Linked DNA regions of Diceros bicornis minor. The protein of the gene in region 2 interacts with the protein of the main gene of each other region in a pairwise test. Links are inferred from orthologs where the notes say so. Each region holds a gene or a part of one and is shown on either strand. Other genes may lie near its edges.

The links.
Region 1: the proteins of SORBS3 (region 2) and SOCS7 interact in binary tests that used the Homo sapiens proteins (3 or more experiments, as listed by UniProt). The link is inferred for Diceros bicornis minor from reciprocal best matches to the Homo sapiens genes SORBS3 and SOCS7.
Region 3: the proteins of SORBS3 (region 2) and VARS2 interact in binary tests that used the Homo sapiens proteins (3 or more experiments, as listed by UniProt). The two-hybrid records come from large-scale screens. The link is inferred for Diceros bicornis minor from reciprocal best matches to the Homo sapiens genes SORBS3 and VARS2.

Annotation. Positions count from the first base shown.
Region 1 is NC_080757.1:38,365,716-38,372,883, reverse strand, and holds the start of SOCS7 (suppressor of cytokine signaling 7), read right to left. Parts: upstream 4,853-7,168; 5' UTR 4,740-4,852; coding exon 3,766-4,739; intron 1-3,765. UniProt on the Homo sapiens protein: Substrate-recognition component of a cullin-5-RING E3 ubiquitin-protein ligase complex (ECS complex, also named CRL5 complex), which mediates the ubiquitination and subsequent proteasomal degradation of target proteins, such as DAB1 and IRS1.
Region 2 is NC_080750.1:71,327,092-71,334,259, forward strand, and holds the start of SORBS3 (vinexin), read right to left. Parts: upstream 3,379-7,168; 5' UTR 3,198-3,378; intron 701-3,197; 5' UTR 646-700; coding exon 544-645; intron 278-543; coding exon 163-277; intron 1-162. UniProt on the Homo sapiens protein: Vinexin alpha isoform promotes up-regulation of actin stress fiber formation. Vinexin beta isoform plays a role in cell spreading and enhances the activation of JNK/SAPK in response to EGF stimulation by using its third SH3 domain.
Region 3 is NC_080753.1:34,261,640-34,268,807, forward strand, and holds the start of VARS2 (valine--tRNA ligase, mitochondrial), read right to left. Parts: upstream 4,295-7,168; 5' UTR 4,178-4,294; intron 3,983-4,177; exon of another isoform or gene 3,681-3,982; 5' UTR 3,654-3,680; coding exon 3,453-3,653; intron 3,328-3,452; coding exon 3,246-3,327; intron 3,130-3,245; coding exon 3,029-3,129; intron 2,742-3,028; coding exon 2,620-2,741; intron 2,508-2,619; coding exon 2,441-2,507; intron 2,342-2,440; coding exon 2,244-2,341; intron 1,674-2,243; coding exon 1,592-1,673; intron 1,421-1,591; coding exon 1,301-1,420; intron 844-1,300; coding exon 732-843; intron 1-731. Other genes in the region: GTF2H4 (general transcription factor IIH subunit 4), read right to left, coding at 4,588-4,760, 5,228-5,306, 5,468-5,515, 6,191-6,321, 6,523-6,655, 6,901-6,984. UniProt on the Homo sapiens protein: Catalyzes the attachment of valine to tRNA(Val) in a two-step reaction: valine is first activated by ATP to form Val-AMP and then transferred to the acceptor end of tRNA(Val).

The DNA.
Region 1 (7,168 bases), on a different chromosome or scaffold from region 2:
CTTGAAACCTAAAATGTAAACAATGAAATAGTAATGCCCTCCCTCTCTTGTCCACAAATCCCCTCTACAGATGTCCTAAGACTTACATATGTCCTTTTCTAAAGTAACTTCCAAACCAAGATGTCCACATATCAGGTTTTGCGGCTCCAATGTACCTCTGCCCCTGCTAAAGCACACAGTGCCAAGTCAGCCAGCCTGTGCCATTTCCAACACATCATAAGCCAGTGTCTGTTCATGTGCTACAGGCACAAAAACCATGTGTTCATTTTTAGTTCCAATACACAGACATCTGTGCAGCAAGGTCAGATCCAAAACTCCATCATAAACTAAACTAAAGAACCTGTGGAGAGAACTTCCAGGGAGAAGCTGAGAGGCACAGTCCAAGGTCTAAAACCTTAGGAATGACGTTAGCAGGGAAAATGTTAAAGAGTGAAAGACACAAGGCCCAAATTGACAGACAGAGATTTCTGAAGCCAGGTTGCTCATTCCAAAAGAGAGCTGCCAACCACAACCACTTGGTGGAAAAATAGGTAAAAAGATCAACAGAATATGGACCCAAAACCCAAACATAAAGTCGGAACTTCCTCAGCACACCATAAAATCATTTTGCTCTCAGCATGTCATGCTATTTCTCAAAAAGACCCCCTCAGACCTGAAGACCCAAGAAAACAGAGAAAAGGGTTTCTCATGATTGCCAGGTCTGTCCACGACAGCAGGGCCCCAAACTGATGCCAAGGCAGCCTGCCTCTCTTCCAGAATTCTATCTTTTTTTCCAAACAAATAGATGGAAACCACTATAGAACTGTTCTCCATTTTTCCACCTCACAACTATGAAGACTGCCAGTTAACTCAACTGTTAACTGGGAAAAAACAAACCTTGACAAATTAACAAGGTACCCATTTCCAACCAAGTGTATATTATGTGACGATTCAAAAAGGTCAGATCAAATGCTGTTTCTCACCAAATACAAAGGAAGATAATCAGCTCAACATATGTGAAACAGACAAGGGAACTTCACTAGTTTTCCTGAAATAGCAATTCTATATTACACCAAGGCCCACAGGCATCAAGCCCAGCTCTTTGAATTCCAACATATGTGTGTTACAAGGCCTAGCCCAGTTCTCCAGAACAGAAACCTGATTAGTTGGTGGGCCCATTTTTTCCTTTACTTGAAAAGAGTTCTCTAGGCTAACTCTTGCTAGACCCAAGACTCAGTATATCCAGGCAGTTCCACTCAGCAGGCTAAAGCATCTGAAAGGAACTAAAGTTGTGCTTAATGTTAAAATATGAAAGATTATAAAATGATTGTAGGAAGTACTTTCTAGTGATAGCTGTGGGAAAGGTAGATGTTGAGAAGAGCAAAGAGAATCATGCCCAGAGGTTACTGTAGCAGCCCCAAATTATACAGCAAAGACTGCAGAAACTCATAATTAACTCCAACCAACAATAAGGAGGAAGGCATTTACCTTCTGGCAAAAGACTGACACTTCTCATGGCTTCCAGGTCCCACCAATCAAAACAAGAGAACAAGCTAAAAATCCAAACTCATCCTTCCTCCCAACAGGGCAGACTTACTTAGGAGGTGCAGATCCGTAGAAATCACAACTACCGCGGCCAGACTTTACCAAGTTTCTCACAGCTGCGAGGCTGCCAGCAAGACTGGCACATAGTAAGCTGTGGAAAAGCTAACAAGCAAATCTAACAGCACCAAATCCTAAGCATTAAAAAAATAAAATAAAATAACCAGTTCAATCTTGTTACTTCTCCTCCAAAAGCACAAAATATTCCATCTCAATTTCTCTTGTCTTCACTCTATTTCTATGACAGGAACAAGACAGGAATCACTCCCATTTTACAGATGAAAAAAGGGGGAAGCACGAAGATGACAAAATTAGCCTGCAGCCCACAGCTGATGTTGGAGCTTTAAATGGAATCTGAATGTTCACATTCTTTGTACAACCTGCTGCCTCCTAACAGCAGTCAACCAGACGTTCACACACAAATACCTAGCTCTTCTCCAATTCATCAGAAAAAGCCCTTGGACCAAAAAATGTAATTCTCCAGTGGCCTGAACTAAGCTTCTTTGCAGAGCTACAGCCCAATTTGCTCTGCAGCAGAAATCTGTATTGTGCTTAGTGTGAGACCTGGTGACAGAGCAGCCAATGACCATTAAATTCTGCTTCCAAAGGCAAAAAACCGTATAATGTTATATGCCTTTTCCTCTTTCTAATCTATTAGACGTAGCAGCTAATTTCACGCCACACCTCATATTTGGCGTCGCAAGAATCTTAGACCAAGTCCTGGTCAATATGGAACAAAGGCAAGACAAACCACAAGAAAATCAGCAATCTATCCTATGTCATTACCCCCAGCTTCAATCCTGCCCTCCCCCCATTTGATGAAAATTTCATCTGTACTGGTAAGTGGAGCACCGAATGCAGAGCCTACCTACAAAAAAAGCTGCTTCAGCAGCCACACACTTTTCAAGACCTGAGCTCTCAGCATGAGTTCATTGGGAGGCAGCAGCAGAAACAGGCCTACCTGCAGGGGCAATGAGCATCAACCTACCGATTCCTTTAGGGAGTTCGGGTTTGGTCTGATCCCCAAGATGAGCCCCTGCGCAGCCGTTCAGAAAGGGCAGCAAAGTCAAACTGACCCCACACTTGGAGTATCCAAGTTCCCTTGAAAAGAGCAGTCTATGGATAAGTGGTTCCCAGTTCAGGTCATGACTTCAGGATCAACTGGGGAGCCTTTAAAAATTCAAATTCTTGGGCCCTCAGGCATACGGATCTTTCCCAAAAGCTCTCCATGTGATTCTGGTGCACAGCAAAGTTCTCAGTTTATTCGTCTACCTGTTCTTCAGCCTTGGGTTGTGGCTGCCAGTGTGTCTCAAGAATCCATCACATGACCCACCCAAAACCAATTCCAATCTTTCTAAGAATCCATTCAGCAGCACAAACCACAATGGCAGTTACCACAAGGGAGGCCTCATTTTGGTGACACAAAAGTTGACACTTTTCTAAACTGATATTACAGATCTAACACTGGATATCAGAGAGCAATCCACCCTCCAGAAATGCAAGAAAAAACTCAATGTCTAAGTTTGGAATTTTCATCAATTGGCCTCAAACTCATGCACCAATACCTCATACTTAGAATTTTCCCATGGGCTTGAGAGCAAAACTATTTTCTGTTCTCACAGGCAGTGGTCAGCACACACACTTGAGATACCAAGTATACCTAAGTGACCAACCAGGAAAACATTAACACTTCGAATAGAGATACCCAATTGATTGCTGGCCTACAACTGCACAAGTTTGTCACATCATTTGCATGCATGAGTGTGAAGGGGGTGGGGTGCTGATACACAAAGTAATAAGCAAGGTGGTCAAAACGCAATACCAACTTTTTGCCCCAAAGGCCAAACATTCCAGCAACCTCGGTGCCAGGGGTAATGGTAGGCAGGTACCTTGTAAAAACTTTAAAAGCTGGGCCAGGGTTGGGGTGGGGAGGATGGTTTCAAATCATCTCCCATCTAGAGATGCTAACCCGCTGAGAGGTTTCACCGGGGAGGGAACTCTTTAAGAGTGAAAGCTGTTCCCACAATTAGCTCCGACCTAATGGGCGATGTCACCACCTTTAGCCCCAAGTCTCTGCCTCCTCATGAAGACCATAACAATTGTCAGGATCGTGTTAGCAACAGAATAAAAGGGAAATGAAACAAGAAGGGAAAGTTTGTCAGCCAGCCCCCCAGCCTCTCTCACCTCCCTGCGTCCAGCTCCCGGCCCGCAGAGCCTCCCATGTCCGTCAGGCTCGCAGCTGAAGCAGCCAGCTCTCCAGAAGGCCTCTTGCCGGCCCCATCCCCACCGCCCGAGCTACCATTGCAGCTCTTCGTCCGAAACAGGCGACTGAGGCGGATTTTGAGGGAGCCCTTGCGAGAAGGGCCCGCGAGTGGCCGGAGGGGCCCAGGAGGAGGCGGGGGCGGGGGAGGTTGCTGCGGCTGCTGCTCCCCTCTACTCAAGCGCCCTGGAAGGACCAAGTCCTGCAGCGGGAAGGGCACCGGGGGTAATTCAGGGCCTGGGGGCTGCAGCAGAAGCCGTCCGCCCCCTCCTCCTCCGCGGCCAGGGCTGCTGAGCTCCTCTTCCGAGCAGCTGTTGGTCTCCAGGCTCTCGGCCTCCGACTCCAAGCCCTCCAGGACCAGCAGCGCGTCGCTCGTTTCCGTGGGATCCTCCCCGGCCTGCGGGGCGGCAGCAGGCGGCTGGGGCTGCGGAGCGGGCGGCTGCGGGGGGCACGGGCACGGGCAGCAACCCCCACTGACCGTCTTGACCCCCGGCCCCGCCGGCTGCCCGAGCCCCAGAGCCGCCAACTGCGCCTCTAGTCCAGCCGCCGGGCCCCAGGTCCGCTCAAGCGCCAACCCCGGCGGCAGGGCCTTCGGGTCCAGGGCACAGCGATGCCGGGGACACAGCAGTTCCGAGGGTCCCGGGTCCGGGGCCGCCTCCGCGTCCTCCTCCTCCGGCGGCCGACCCACGTTGCGGAACACCATCAGCTGCGGCGGCCGGGAACCCCGCGGGCCGGGCCGCGAGAGGAAGGGTGGCGGCGGGGGACCATGGCCCGGGGGCGGCGGCGGCGGGCCTGGCTCGGGGGCCGACTCTCCATAGCCGAGCAGGCGGCTCAGGACGCGGTACGAAGCCGCCGCCGCCGCCGCCGCCTCGCCATCCCGGAGCTCGGCCCCCTGCATCGGGGAGAGGGAGGGAGGGCGGGCGGCTGGGAGCCGAGCTGGGGTGGGGACTAGGCCGGGCCCCGCCGGAGCCCCGCCCGCCGCGGGCCCCGGAGCGACAGCGCTAACGGCCGCCGCGGTCTCTGCCTCATAGAGGGGGGCGGAGGGCGCGCGGAGCCCAGCGCGAGCCCAGGCCGCGCGCCGCCGCCCCCGCCGCCGAGGACCGCCCCCCGATGCCGTCACTTCCGGGAGGCTGTGACCACGCCCCCCTCCCCGGGACAGGATCGTGCCGGCCTCCACGGAGTGTGACGTTGCGCGCGGCCTGGGCCGCTATTGGCCGTGAGCTGCCTCTCGCCTGGTCGTTGGTCCCCCTGCCTCGACCCTGTTTTTCACTTCCCGGGCGCTCTGGCCTAAGCCACCGCTCCCGGTAAGGTGGAGCGGCCCTGGAAAGCCTGGTGTGGTGCTGGGAGAGCCGCTGGCCTTCGGAGGACCTCTGGTTCTGGTCCCGCCTATGCCGCTTGCGATGTGTAACCGTGGCCGAGTCATTTCTTCATTGACTAACTGTATCCCCTTGGCATATTTATGGAAAGACACATGAATAATGTGTTCTAGACCCACTGGTGTGCTGCTAAATGTTGAACAGCCGACCCTCTGGGGGGAAAAGGGGAATGTATGCATATATATAGGTACATAAGTTTATCATAAATTATACTGATGTAAAGGATGTGTAGTGTACAATTTACAAATAATAATGATATGCAATTGCACTTTCATGTAACCAATTGATTCTCACAGAATAATTTCATTGATTTTTGCCAAACTCTGGTATGGGTAGCCAACCTGTGGTTTCAATTGACCGGGGAGTGTAATTGCGACGTGAATGAATGTTGGTTGATATTTTCCTCTATGTCAATGTAAGAGGAAAGAGAAAAACTGTCAATTATGGGAGCAACTTCTTTGCTGAATCAGAAAACAGTTGTCAAGTACTGAAAGCACATTTCCTCAATTTTTGTGCTATTCACAACATATCTGCTACAGACACAAATTTACTCTTTTTTGTGTGTGTGTGAGGAGATCAGCCCTGTGCTAACATCTGCCAATCCTCCTCTTTTTTTGCGGAGGAAGACTGGCCACGGGCTAACATCAGTGCCCATCTTCCTCCACTTTATATGGGACGCCGCAACAGCATGACTTGCCAAGCGGTGTGCGCCCTGGTTCGGCGAACCCTGGGCCACCGCAGCGGAGCGCGCACACTTAACCGCTTGCGTCACCGGGCCGACACACACACTAAATTTAAATCTGAATTATTAACATTTTCTCCATCACTTTTTAGTTTTTTATTTTATTTATTTTTTTTGAGGAAGATCGGCCCTGAGCTAACATCTGCCAATCCTCCTCTTTTTGTTGAGGAAGACTGGCCCTGGGCTAACATCCGTGCCCATCTTCCTCCACTTTATATGGGAGGCCGCCACAGCATGGTTTGACAAGCGGTGTGTCGGTGCGTGCCCGGGATCCAAACCCGGGATCTGAACCGGCGAACCCCGGCCGTCGCAGTGGAGCACGGGCACTTAACCACTTGGGCCACGGGCCGGCCCCTCCATCCCTTTTTAAAATCTAGATAATTGAGGGCCGGCCCTGTGGCTTAGCGGTTAAGCGCGCGCGCTCCGCTACTGGCGGCTTGGGTTCCGATGGGGGCGCACACCGACGCACCGCTTCTCCGGCCATGCTGAGGCCGCGTCCCACATACAGCAACTAGAAGAATGTGCAACTATGACATACAACTATCTACTGGGGCTTTGGGGAAAAAAAGGAGGAGGATTGGCAATAGATGTTAGCTCAGAGCTGGTCTTCCTCAGCAAAAAGAGGAGGATTAGCATGGATGTTAGCTCAGGGCTGATCTTCCTCACAAAAAAAAAAAAAAGACAAGCAGTAGCATACCGTTATGCGATAGTTTCATCATGCAGACACAATAACATAAAAAACCCCAAGAGTATAGGTAAATAATAATAGTAAAATTATTAGGAAATGATGAGTTGTGAGATCTTTGATTTTAATATCATTTGTTTAATTGTTTGTATAATTGAATTGTTAATAGCGACTGTGTTTAACAACTGGCTTGCAAAATTCCTGAAATTTTAACAGTTGGCCTTCACAAGCCTGTAAGAGCCAGCTCCACAGCACCACTAGACTTCAGTTTTCTTATCTGCAAAATAGGGATAAGGATTGCTGCTCTGCTTCCTTGCAGGCATGTTCTGAAGATCAAGTAAGATCAAGCTTGTGTAGAGGAGGTGGGACTGGAGGCAGGGAGACCAGTTAGGAAACCATTGCAATTGTTCCATGAGAGATGTTGGGGGATGCAAAGGATGAGGAGGAAGGATCAGCGAGCAGAACTTAGCAACTTTAGTACCTGAGGGTGCATTGAGGAAAAGAGGGTTGAGGGTCTGCTATGA
Region 2 (7,168 bases):
TCATAGGCCAACACGCTCACACTGGGAGGGGCAGTTAGCTGAGCTCAGAGGCCCCCCCATCCCTCCCCTACCCCTCCTGCCAGACCCAGGGTGGTAGCAGATGGCAGGGCCCAGGAGGCTCTGATCCCCCAACCCCCACACGGGACTCCTGAGCAGACCCACCTGGGTGCTGGGAAGCATCTCTCAGTGGGAAGTACCCATTGCATACAGTCCTGGGCGCAGGGTCATGGAACTGGAAATTAAGGGTGTTGGAGCCACCATTCCGGATCACAGGCACCTGTGGGAAGGGGCCAGGAGCAGCAGCTCAGGCCCAGAAGGTTCTGCAGAAGGTGGGAGGGATGGCTACCAGGGCACAGCCAGAGTCCATGGTGAGGGCTCGAGGGCCAGCCTGACCCTTCTGGGGGAAAGCGGCGAGGCTCTCTAGAGCTGCCTCCCAACCCTTCCCTCCCTCCATTCCTTTAATCCTCCTGCCCCTATCTGTCCTGCGAGGTCCCCGCCAACTGTGGGCTCACAGCACTCCCTCTCCCTCGCTGTCTCACTCACCCATGTACCCCGGGAGGATGACCCTAGGTGGGCCCGGAGGTGGCTAGGGATGAAGTCATCCAGGCTGAGCCCAGTGGGGAGGCTGCAGGGTGGGGCCTGCATGCTTGGGTCAAGGTCGGAGGACTCCCGGTGTGCCAGCTGCTCCGCTGTTTGTCCTCTGTGGGGAAGGAAGGAAGGAGGAAGGAAAAGTCCTGCTGAGCCCAGGCTGCTGTGCCCTCTGGGCCTGACCCCAATAGGGGTGGGGGAGGAGGGCACGGCTGTGGGAAGGGGTCGAGACCAGCTGGGTGGGAGCTCAAGGACCCAGGAAACAGCCGCTGCAGGCCCCTCCTGCAGGCTGCCCCATGCCGGCTCCTAGAGGCACAATGGGCTCTTGTTAGGCCCCAGGCAGGAGCTCGGGGTGGGGGTGGGAGTGGGGGAGGGGAAGGCCCAGGCAAGGAGGAGGGGAGGCTGGCTAGGAGCAGGCCTGCTGGACAAAGCCTGGGGCCCGTGGGCCTGCTGGTCAGCCCCTCTGGGGCTCTCACTGCACAGTGCAGCCCGCTCCCCCAGAGGGAAGGCAGAGGGAACTGGGGCAGCTGGCAGGGGCAGGTCTGGGCACTCAGCATTTTGTTTCAGTTCCCTCTGCCTCCCCCAGGCCCTGCGTGCGCATCTGCTTGCCAGGGGGCACAAGGGGTTACTCAGGCCGGGGAAGAAGCCCTGGACAACGGCAAGGCCATCCGCCCACTGCCCAACGGGGCCAAAGTTCTGGGGACGGGGAGAGTGTGGAGGCATTTCCAGGCAGCAGGAACCACTCCTGGACTCAAAGTTTCATCTCCCTTCTTTGGCATCCTTCGCTTGCTGGGACTGAAGCCTCACAGGGCTCAGGGTGCCAGTGAGGAGTGGGAGTGGAGAACGAAGCAGTGGGTAAGGGCTCTGTTGGACTTGCTGATGGAGGGGTGGTGCTGAGTGCCGCACACAAAGACACATACATGTGGGCACACCCCACTGCCTCCTACACCTCCAGGCTCTTTTTTGAACGAAGGATCTTCCTGGAAGCACCATGCCTGACTGGCCAGCCGGGTTCTTCTGCCCCATGCAAGGGTTGGGTCAGGGTAAGGGGGCTGCAGGCACTCTGGAGATGGAGGCAATGGGGCTGTCCAACAGGGCTTTTCTACCCAGAGGGCTGAGGTGTGGAGCCTGTCTCTCCTCACCTGTGCTATTGCACCGGGCCAGAAGCTGAGCCAACCTCCACCACCTTCTGGGGCTAGACCAATTCTGGCATTTTTGTTCAGCGGTTAGCCTTGTGTGTGCCTGTGGTGTCTGGGGGTTCATGGGAGGGCTGCGAGGGCCTTGTGAGGTGCTGTGTGTGTGTGTGTGTGTGTGTGTGTGGTAGAATGTAAGCACAGTGCTGTGAACGCGACTTGGGGAGCGTACCACCCAGGGTCACGTGAGCAGAGTGGGGGTATGGGTACAGAGGGGTGTCAGCTGAGTAATAGGTGGGGGAGAGTGCAGTGGGGGGTCATATGAGCAGCACAAGAGTTATGGGGACCAGAGGGGAAGAAGGTACAAGAGGGGCTGTATTACTCCGGTACCCAGTTCCTGCTCAGGGCATGGGGGGCTGGAGGGTAGAGACAAGGCTGGGGGCAGCTCCCTGTCTCTGGTCTGAGTGAGGATTCCTTCTGACATTCAAAAGACCTATCGAGGACAGCTTTTCCATGCCCATCCCTGGCTGTGGAAGAGTGGAGGGCTGGGGCTGGAGGAGGGGCAGCTCACCAGCTGGATCCAATTAGGCCTCCTACCAAGAGCAAAACATGCAGACCCGCCCCAGTTCTCCTGCTCTCCCTCCCCTTGTGGGGGAAATTGAGGCAGGCAAGAGCCTGAGAACAGAGGCCTGGAGAAGGTTGGTTCCTAGCAGCAACCCCTTCCTGCCCAGCTGACTGCTTGAGGCCAAATTGCCAGGTCAGCATCAGCAGCCCTAACCATCAGCTGACCCGGCCTCCTTCCCTCGCCTCGGTCCCACCCTGCTGTGCTCGTGAGAACTGCCCTCTAGTAGGATGGGGTGGGGGCAGGAGGTCCCCCCACACACCGATTTTTCAGGGGTTGCTGATCCTTGGTGGCTCAATCTGCCCCTCCCCAACACTGTGCCCCGTGGCACCCCCCAGGGATATGCAGGGGTGGGTGGGGAACAGTGGCTGAGTTTTTCTCCTGGCAGCCAGCCAGGAGACATTAAGGAGGACTTATAGGGGAGACAGAGGCACGGGCGAATTGGTCCCACGCCCGGCAGAGGACAGAGGGTACCAGGAAATCTACGGGGTCCCCCCAGAATTCAGGAAGCCCTTCACCCCGGCAGCCAGCTCCAAAGGGCTGGAAGAGCTGCAGAAGCCGTGTTGGAGTCGGTAGGCTCCTTCCCACTTCCAAGTACCGCCCCGACCCCGGGGGCTTGGCTCTCGGCGCTTTCCCGGGTATTCTCCAGCTACAAGTCCACATGGACACGGCCAGGTTTCCTCGAATTTCGCCTTTTCTGAATTGAGGGAGGGCCTCTTACCTCTTTCCACCTCAGAGTTTGGGACGAGGACCCCAGGGGGAGGGGCCCTCTGCCTTCCCTTCGGGTCGGGCGCGGCTCCCTCCCGGCCTGCGGCCCCCGCCCCCTCTCCGCCCCTCTCCCTGCCGGCACCTACCTTCCCCGGCGAGCAGGTGGCGGGGCCTAAGGATGCCCGGGAGCGCAGGGGCATCTCTGCCCGGCTCCTGCCTGGCGCGGCCGCGGCGGGCGCTCGGGCAGGGAGGGCAGGCAGAAACCCGGGCTGTGCCGTCCGCCCTCGTGACCGGGTCAGGACGGGGCCCGCAAGGCCGGCGCCCGAGGGGAGCGGGGGACCGACGGGGCCGAGGGCGCGCACCGCAGGAGGACCAGGAGAGGCGCGGGCGGGCGGCAGTGTCGCCCTTAGTCTGGACTGTGGGCCGCTGGGGGGCGGGGGCGGGCGGCGACTCCCTCTCCCGCTGGCGGCCGGGGGCGTGCGAGTGCCCTCCGTCGGGGCCGGGCGGGCGGGGACGCCGGGGCCCCTGCAGAGGGGGCCGGGCCGGCCGGAGGCGGCGCCGGGAGGGGCCGCCGAGGGTCCCCGGGGAGCCCGCTCGGGTTTCCCAGCTGCCTCTCCCGGCCCCCACCGCAGGGCTGGCGTCGGGGCGGGGGCGGGAGGACCGGCGAGAGCCACTCAGAGTTTCCAGCGACATTTCCAGCGTGTGGGAAGGGAGCCCTGCGCGGCGGAGCCAGGACAGAGGGCAGGACTGATTCAAGAGGCCGGGCCGAGCCAGCAACTGATACGGAGCCGGCAGCCTCGGAGACAGGACAGGGCTGCAGACAGGCTGGGGCCGAGATAAGGGCGCCACGTGCAGAGCGGCCTAGCGGACCGAGTTCAGGTCCCGCCGCCTCCCTCCGCCCCTGGGGAGAGAAATCTCGTGCTTGCGTAAGCGCGTGCCCGGCGTGTGCAAACACACACACACACACAGGCGCGTGTGCACTGCAAACGGGCGGATGCTCACACACGTGCAAGCACCGCGGAGGGCAGCCCGGAGAGGAAATCCACCGACGGGAGCTGGCCCCCTAGGCGAGCCGCGCCCCTGAAGAGGATGAGGGCGGAGTCCCTTTGGCCGGGATGGGGTTACCAGGGTCTTGGTGTTCCCATACGCGTGTTTGTTTTGATCTTGCTGCTTTTCCGCTGTTCCCGCTGCTCTGACACGGGTCCCAAGAGCCCGCGTCCAGTGGCTCTCCACCCCTTGGTCATCCCTCTTCCCCTTCTCCCCCAAGCCTCTGGTGGGCACAGGGCCTGTTATAGAAAGTGAGGGTGCTTACTGAATGTTTACTGCTGATGGAAAGACTCTGGAGTACTTCTTAGCCGTTGGCTTGGTTCTGGGACCCCAAGCTCCAAACCAACCATATAGCAAATAGTTATTGGGCAATTTCAGATCCATTTCGGGAGTGATCAATTATAAATTATGAAAATATGAAAACGTTTACTGCATACCTACTGGGTGTAAGATTGGTGCCCTGAGGCCACCATGCACTTCAGAGTGTTTTCCAAGCACATCATTCAACCTTCAGAAGGAAGAAGGAAGAGAATGGAGGAAAGATGAAAGAATCTTTTCTTAAATTCCTACATCGTTGATGCTATTAGCTTGATCCTTCCTCAATTCAGTTAAAAGATGTTTCCAGTTGGGGTGAACCAGCTTGAAACAATATCACACGTGAAAAGCAGAACGAGATGTTTAGGCTGAGAAGAAGCTTAAGAGAGGGAGGCATGCTGGCTAGCTCCCAGTGTCTTCAGGGTGGTGTGAGGAAACAGACTGGCTGCACCGGCAGAAGTGGGACCATTGGGTGCCCACTTGGAAGCAAATCCAAGGTTTCCAAGGATGAGCTTTTACATGATTACAGGAATTCTGTACTCTGCCAATTGGGGGACACCTTTGTAAAGGCAATGATTGCACGGAGCAGGGAGCTGAACGAGATCACCTTGAAGACCCCTTCCAAGAGTCAGTGATTTTCCAGGACAGCTGAAGGGACAGGGTTGGGATGGGTAGCCCTGCCCACAGACGACAGCTGCAGAAAGGAGTGTAGGAGCTCTCGGACTTCCTGAGGGCAAAGTGCATTTTCCCTTCCCTAAAGCTTGGATACTTACTTACCCACCCCTAGGCACCATCTCCTTCCCTCCCTCAGGGACAAAATATGTGCCCATGTCCCTTGTCATCAGTTTTTTCCCACCTGTCAGGATCCTCACGACTAAGAAGGGCCACATCTTTTTCATGTTCTTCCTTGTTCTCCAAAGATGGTGAAGCTGAAGATCTCCCAGCTCCAGGAATCCTGGCCATACCCTCTCTCACCAGCAGCAAGCTTCTCTCATTCTCTAGGGCTCTGACCTGGACTCCAAGATAAATATTTAACGTAGAGGGTGCAGCTGAGCTGACAATGGTCTCAACTTCCTGTGTGTCACAAAGGGAGGTGGCAGCCATGGGCAAGGAGCTGGGGACTGGCTACCAGTTTCATCTCTATGGGAATAGGGAGTCCAGTAAACAGCTTGTAGGAGGAGGCGGGGTAGGCCTTGCTGGAGGAAACCTGAGCCTTTCTCCTGAGCTTCTTGGACTTCTGCCTGTCTACTTAGGCCCGGGCTCTGCTGTGCTTATCACCTTCTCTCTCAGGACAGAAACTGCTTTGCCCTGGCACCAGTGGAAATCGCCCTCCTTCCCAGAGTCTTAGGCTATGTGCTTGGACAAGAGCTGTAACAGGATCCCTCTATCATGTTTCCTCGTGCCCATCCAGCTTGACAGAAGAGAGGATGAGAGATTGGTGGGAGCATAGAACATAAGGAACCTTGACCGACTCCTCCTTTTCTGCCCATATTTAGGGAGAAGAATCCCTCCTCTTTGAAAAGTGGAAGATTAAAGGGCAAAAAGTACCAAAGTCCAGAGATTCAGCCAAGAAACAGGTGTCTGATTTCTCAGCTCCTCCCTCCAGTCTCAGTTCTACTTGCTGCTGGCCCGACCCCTAAGACAGCTGGCATGGTTTAGGGAGAGGCTGAGGATAGGGAAGGCTGTCCTAGGTGACCTGGCTGTTTCAACAACAGAGTAGATTCCTTTCACCCCAATCCACTATCTCCTCTGGCGTCTGCCTTATTATCTAACAGGGACCTCCCTCCCTGTGACTCTTCCACATCTCTGGGACTGCCTTTTGTCAGGGGGCTGCCTCTGTCTTCTTAGAGCCACTTGAGCCATGGTAAACAAAGTTACATAACTGCTCTGTTTTTTCCTAGCTATCTGATCCTACTCAGCAGGATGCCCCACACCCACCCTGCTCCTTGAGGCTGCCACCTTGTACACTATGGATTATCCCCCAGTGGCACCCATGTCAACAGAGGTCTGTCCACGCCCACCACCCTAAGGGATGATTAGCTGAGAGACTACCAATAGATGTTGTGGCTCTTCACACCAAGGGGAGAAGAGGGTGGCTGTTCATACAGGAATACAGGTCACTCTGAAAACCAACCTCTGTTACCAAGAGGAGGGATAAATGGAAAGAGCACTTAAGTAGTTTTTTTTTTGTAAGTGAGGAGGGTGAACAGAGAATTTAGTTTTATTTCTCAAATGAGAGAAAGGAAGCAACGGATCCCAGAAGACATAAGCCTGAATTCTTGTTTCTTGAGGAGTGTCTTTTTTTTTTTTTTTTTAATTTTTTGTTTATTGCAGTAACATTGGTTTATAACATTGCAAAAATTTCAGGTGTACATCATTGTACTTCTATTTCTGCATGGACTACATCATGTTCACCACCAAAATACTAATTACAACCCATCAAAGGAGTGTCTTTATCTAGTGCTGGGAGTCTGGCATTCGAATGTCACCCTCTGAGATCTACCCTGAGCAGCCAAGGGGGCTCCCTGGCTCTGTGCCTCAGTCCCCCGACATTAGACAAAAGAAGGGCATTTGCTATTGCTTCTCTCCTCCTCCCCAGGGATGAACTCCTGGTATATTCTTTAGTTAGTTTTTTATTTGTGCTCTCAGAAATGAGTTTTCTTCTTGCCAGGGGAACTGAGCAACCAGATCAGAATGGCTTAGCAAAGAAAGCAATGTCCCTTTCAAGGAGTTTAGACTTCTCTAGAGGGGAAGA
Region 3 (7,168 bases), on a different chromosome or scaffold from region 2:
CAAACAAAATTCAAGCACGTATAGCTGATCATCACCCTGCCCCCTCACTCTCGACACAGCTAAAGCCAGGAGAACTGGCAAAGGGACAGGGCAGAGAGCAGTCAACATTGAGCAGGCCCCGAGGAGCCCCCAGGGGTAACTAGAGAAAATTAGAGCCAGGGCCTATAGGAGCCTGGGGTTTCCGTGTAAGCTAATGACCAGAGGCCTGAGAGGGTGTCTGGTGCTAAGGAATTCCTCAATAACTTGCATAGAAGAAATAGATATAGTGTTCATAAAAGCAACCAGAGTCCTTGCTTTGTACCCATAAGACACTGGGGGTTCGCAGAGCCCCAGTCACAAATGCTGTGCATTTCTTGGGGCTAGCACCAGCCCTTCCGACAAGAAACCTCCTCTGACTATTCCAGCTCATCTATCTTCCCCTTCTCTGAAGTCTTTGGAACACTTACTGTCCAAACCACACTTTAGAACTTTTGTCTCTTTTGGAGGTAGCAGCCTCCTGCAGAATTATGCTAAATTCCCAAAGGGCGGTGACCACATGAACTTTTCTTACATGGCCCAGAATACCCATGGTAAGTGCCCACAAGAACGCAAACACTTTCAAGGTTCCTCATGCCCCTCCCACCAGGTCACATGGGAAACAGGCTGGTGGTTCTCCCCCATTAGCCCAACATGGCTCAAGAAAACAGAGGAAGCAGAGGTAAGTGGGCAACCCTTCCAAAGACTACCCTCACCAGGCTCTCCATCCACGGGGAAGGCCACAGAAACGAGAAGGCCAAAAGACACTGGGGTGGGGCAGCCAGGCAGTCGAAGCTCCGTGCGGCCAGGCAGGGGCCGGTTCTCCACCTGGGGGCAGCGAAGGAGGGCTGGAGAGCAGCATTTCTGCAAAGCTCACACCCAGCCTTCCCACCTCCACTCATCCATCCATGCCAGCCTCCCTGCAACCCATCTGAAAGCCATTCAGAGGATTCAGAAGCCACCTCCCTCTCCCCTCACCTAACTCTTGTGCAGTCAGTTATAGAAAATTTTCAGTGAGCACTTAAACCACGCACAGGTATCATGCTAAGCACCTTCCATGAGTTCTCATTTAATTCTCACAACACCCCCATGATGCAAGCATTTCCATCATCCCTAATTTACAGACTGAGGAAACTGAGGCTGAAAGAGGCTAATGGCCTGCCAGAACTCACACAGCTGGTAGATGGCAGGACCCGGATGTGAATCCAGGCTGACTGGCTCCAGAGTCTGAGCTTTCACCCTGCCTCAGCACTCTCTCAAACCTGCTTCTCTTTCTCCGCCTCACCTCAATATCCGAGATGGCTGATCTTAAAGCACATGACCAGTTGACAAGCTGCTGGCTCCGGTACAACAGCCCCGCCTTGTGGAGTCGCACGAAAGCTTCGGTCACAGCCACTGAGGAGCCCTAGAATGACCTGAGTGTCCACATCCAACAGCCCCTTCCCAGCCCATCGCCCCACTCAGGGGCCCAGGCATTCCCACCCTCCTACATCCAACACACACAACAACCTGCCTCCCTGCACAGGTCTCTAAACACCCCCTGACACCCACAGGGACCAAGACATGGAACACTCACAGCATCCATAGTGAAACACTCTCGGTCCCAGTCCAGGGAGGCCCCCAGAGCTCGGAGCTGCTCACAGATCTCTCCACCTTTCCTGTGCCCAGAGAGATTTCCATCAGCAAACATGTCCTGACCGCCAACTATGAACCAGGCCCAGTGATGGCCCCAGCAATGCTGAGTACTACAGTGAGTGTGCCATTGATCTGCCCTCTGGAAGCTAATGGAGACAGACTCACAAACCCAGGAGTTTAAAAGAAGCATAACAGAGGAGGGGACAGCTGATTTGTGGGAAACCCAAAGAAGCTTTACAGAGAAGACGGCATGTGATAACAGATCTGGAAGAATGAAGGTAATTTCACGCACACGGAAAATGGAAATGGGTGACAAGAGGTGGTGAAATGTAGGCAAAGGAAAATGGGATAAGTGGAGGAAAAAAACATATATATACATATGCACATATACACATAAATATATACAATTTAATGTATATCACACACACAGCTAGGAGACCCCATCAAATGCTAAGGGGCTCCAGAGCTTATGTCTCCAAAGGAGGTTAGGGCTGGATGGGAAGAGCCACGATTACAAGTTAGGACAGAGTGGCTGGGAAGCAAGCATCTCCACCTGCTCTCTTGGCCCCTCCACCCCTGCCCATCATACTCACTCATCCTTCCACTTCCACACCTCCCTAAGGAATTCTTCTCGGCTCAGCTCGTGTCTCCTCACTCCTCGCTCCTTCCATAGTTGTTTTTCCACCACAGCCTACAATAAGATTAGAGGGCAAATGAACAGAGAATCAGGTTGCTTTAGGGGAAGAAATCTCTTTCACTCAAGAAAAGGAAAAAGTGGCAGAAGACATACTTGGGTAGCAATTCCTGCATGATCTGAGCCAGGGACCCACAGCACCTGATCCCCACGCATCCGGTGCCTGCAAAAGAAATATGCTCATGTGAATCCCTGGGCTTACGTGTTTATCCTCACTCCTTCCCACGCTTTCTACTTCCCCTCCAAGAACTCAAGCAGCCCCATTCCCCTCTCACCAGCGCACAAGGGCATCCTGTATAGCCACTGTCAGCGCATGACCAATGTGTAGGGAGCCAGTGACGTTGGGAGGTGGGATACACATGGAAAAGGTCTCCCCTGTGGTCTGGGGCAGCTGGGTCTAGAAGGAAGGAGAAAAGTCAAATGGCAAGAGAGGACTGGATGTTACCTGAGAGGATAGCACCCTCTGGTGTCTCCAAGGCAGAAAGAACTGCAGGGAAGGGGAAAACATGATTTAAAAACGCTTTGGAGACACCAGGGCCAGAAGGCAAGCGCTCCCTGTTTTTTGACAGGCTCTGCAATGTGGCTGGCTGTGAGCTCTGGGCTCTGAGGCTCAGCTGTGTCCACCAACCTCACTCACCAGTCCATCCTGGGGACCGTTTAGTCCCCCTCCTGCCATGTACTAACCTGATATTCTGGTTTGAAGAAGCCCTCTCGCACCCACCATGGGTACCAGGCAGCCTCAACATATCGGGGGCTGTATGTAGGGGGCAGGGGCTGTGAGACATCTGTGGAGGCAGAAGAGAGCTCCACTAACTCCTGAACTTTGTTCCCAGGCTGCATTTCAGCAGATCAAATGGGCAACAAATATGGTGAGAGAAACGACCTTCAAGTTCCTAGTTACCTTTCTTTTCACCGGGTTCCGTGGGGATTTCATACAGTACTATCTCCTTAGGAGCCCAGGCCTTACTGGATTCTGCTGGTGACTAGGGGGAGGAAGGACCAGAAGGGGGAGATGCAATTCCCAGGATACCCCAGGCACCCTCCAGGATACTCCAGCTCCCTCCCAAGTCTTCTCATCGAACCAAGGACAAGCTGTCTGACCCCTAACCTTGCTCTTCCGGGCTATCCCAGCCTCCAGTGCCGCCTGCTTCTCTCGCAGGCGCTTCTGTTTGGCTTCACGGTTCTTCCGGGAGATAGGGGATCCATGGGGCTCTGATTGAGTAGAAAGCGGATGGGACCTGGGGAGGCCCCGTGAGGGCCTCAGCCCCCAAAGCGGTGGTCGAAAAGAGGCCAGAGGCAAATGAGGCATCAGGAGTGCTTGGAAAGGGGCCAAGATCTGTTCCAGACAGAGTACATTAAAATATGGGGGTAGCGGAAGGTCATACCCCCTAAAGTCACACCCTATTCCTTATTCCCTGCCTCCTACTAGCACTGGTCTGTTATTCTAAGTATCTATCCCTTCCCACACAACCCTTCCTCCGTGAGGACTAGCGTGCGTGGTGTCGACAGTAACAGGTTCCTGAGGGTCACGGAGATCAGGGCTCTTCTGGGACAGGATCGGAATCTCTGGCCCTCAACGTATTCATCCGCGACGCGGAGATGACCGCTGACACACAAGTGGGGAAAAGTCTCAGGGATCTAGGAGGATGATCTACATCAGCGCGCCCGAGCGCCAGCAATGAGTACCCCCATTATCACTGCGATCTCGGCCTGCCCAGAGCCGCCCGCCCCGCCCCCAGGCCTGTGCGGCCCGGCCTTCCCGCCGATCCAACCGCGTGGGCCCCGGGCCCGCAGCGCCTCCCACTCCCCAGAAGCCGCCTCACGCGCGCTCACCGGGCAAGCCCGCCGCTATCCCAGGGCGGCCCGCGGCGGCGGCAACAAGAGCTGCATGAACCGGCGAACCCGACCCCGGAACGAGACCCACGATCCGCTCGGCGCCGGGCGCCGGAGCTCCGCCGGGCGCATGCGCAGTAGCTGGCCTCGGCCCCACCCCCTTCCCCTCCGAGTCGAATGGCCGTCGACGTCGAGGAGCGCGCCACCGCGGAGAGGGGAAGCCCCGCGGAGAGGCGCCCCACCGCGGAAAGGGGAAGCCCAGCGGGGAGGCGCCCGGGCCGCGTGGCTGACTTCCACAACTTTATTAAACAAGAGTCCCCACGTGTAAATAAAAAACGCCTGAGTTCTGAGGCCACAGCCGGCTTGGCCCGCCCCGCCCAGCCCAGGTCCGGTCCGGTCCGCCCGCTTCCTCAGGCGCTGTGCTTCTGCCGCTTCCAGAAGCGCTTGACGTCGCTGTGCCCGGCCGGCGTCACCACCATGAGCCGCTTGGCCGAATTCTCGAACACCAGCACGCCCAGCTCCCGCGCGTGGGCCAGCAGCAGCTCGAAGTCCACTTGCGACAGGAACTGGTTATACAGGACGCCTGGGTCCCAGGACGGCAGTGGCGGGAAGAGAGAGAGAAAAGACCAGAACGTGAGGGAAGAGCCCCTATGGCAGCCTCAGGGCAGGGGTCCGGGCTTGCCACCCACCACAATTTAAAAACTAATCCTCTATGCTTGTCTGTTCCAGGGACCTTCTACCACTAGTGTGATCCAGCCATATTCAGGAAGGTGATATAATACAATAAAAAAACCCCTTAATGCTCAGCAAAACCAGAGATACGTGAATTATCCCTCCCAATTTCCCTCTTCTAGCTAAATCCACATTGCACTGATTTGAGACTATTTATTACTACCAACTCACCCTAAAATAACAAGTGTCTTGCCAGCTTTTCTCTCCCAGCCCATGCGGTAAACAAATAAAATGCATTAATAGCTTTTTCAGCTCATCAAGACTGAACTGTCCTTCCTCTGGCCAGTGACCAAGAATCACCCACCAGAAGCCACTCACCCTCGGTGAACCGGAGTCTGTCTCTTTCCAGCTCCCACAGCCTGATCTGGTCAGTGATGGTGGGGGGCAGCACCGGTGTCTGCAGGGGCAAGAGATGCCTGTAAAATTCAGGAACACTGCCCCAGACACCCCCAGCCCTCCACTCATTCCCCAGACTTGGATGCCCCTTTCTCGTTTCCATCCCTTCATCACCAGGTGCCAGGGGCTGTCAGCCTCCAGCAGCCTGGCACCTGTTTGTACCTGTTTAAGCATCACTGGGTGGGCCCTTGTCCTTAGGAAATGGATGATCTAGGAAAACAGACAAGAATGGGATCAAGGGCTTGAGGAAGAAGGTAGGAAAGCTACCCAAGCTGTCACCTAAGTCATTGGAACATCAATTTACTGTTTAAAAACTCATAGCCACGTGCCTGTAGTCAACTCAACCCATCCCTGTTCAGCTGTTGTCTCAAGTGGCTGTTCCCATTGGTCATGTCTGCTACTCCTTCTCTGGCCCTTCTTGTAGTCTTGTTTTGTTTTTCTTTCTTTAAAATAGCAGCAGCTATTATTTTGTGAGGACTTACTGCCTGGCAGCCTCTGAGCTACATGCCTTACCCTCTATTCTTTCACTGAATCCTCCCAACAACCCTATGAGGTGAGAACTGTCATTATTTCCATTTTCCAGATGAGGAAACTGAGGCTCAGAGAAGTGAAGCAACTAGACTGTTTATGCAGCTAAGAAGTGGTGATGCCAAGACACAAATCCAGAGCTGTACCTCCTCCCTCCATGTTTTTTCCCCTTGAGGGTCTGCCTGTTCCCACACCTAAAGCCTTGACTTCTCAATGCCTGGTGATCAAACACAGACAACTCACCACCACCTACTGTAACAGATCAGGTGCCAGCTTTCTGTAAGGTGACCAGCCTGTACCCCACGGCCCAAGTGCAGCCAGTCCCTTCCTGCCCCCACCTCCCACAAATGGAGATACCTGCTGGGCTGTGATGCCACTGGCAATGGCCTGCTGCACGCTCTCCCGGGTCACCTGTGCCACCACCAGGTTGGGGAAGCGATAGAGCATCTCAGAGAAGAGGGCGATGAGGGCAATCTGCAGCTCTGACTCTGAACCAGGGTAGGAGAAGAGGATGAGGCTCCCCCACACCCGGACTCCCTCCAGCCCTTCCTTCAGCGTGACGAGAAATGTCAGAGAGCTCTCTAAAACCTCCAGGTAAATGTGAACATAAACTGGCATTCCCTCCTGTTTCTGTCCCCCAACCCACTCCCATCTCCAACCTGCTCTCCAGGGCCCCTGTCCGGCCTCACCCGTGTAGGCATACAGTCGGTAATTGGTTTCCACGACAATGAAGCCCGGCTGATGCGCAGTGCCCCCAGCCCCTGAAACACCTGACGAGAGATTGATGGCCAGGCGCGTGGGGTAGTAACGCCGAGACTTCCTCTGGAAAGGATAGAAGGGAAAGGCAGAGGGCCTCAGGTGTCACCGCCCTACATCCTCCTGAGACATCAGATCCCTCCCAGTGCCCAGAACCTCGACTCCCAACTTCTCGCCCCCAAGGGGCCCAAGTATTCAGTCCTGGCAACTGCTTCCTACTACTGCGTCCCACGACCCCACTCCTTTTTAAAGGGCAAGGCAACATACCACCTTGCCTCCTCCCTACAAGCCACGTATCTGGGTGCTCATACCTTCCTCTGGAAAACAAGCCCGAACTCACGTAGATGTTGCAGGAAGTTCAACAGAGAATCACTCATACCTTCTACAGAGTAATCCTGGGAAAGAGAAGTGGCCAGCTGGGGTCCAAAACACATCCCATTCTCCCTTTCCCATCCCATTCTCCCTTTCCCCACCCCGTACACTCACTCCCTCCTTTCCCATCGCTGGTCCTCTTTGTTCATTCTTATTTTTAACTCTATTGCCCCATAACCTCATTTCGCCTTCCCTTCTCTCTACTCT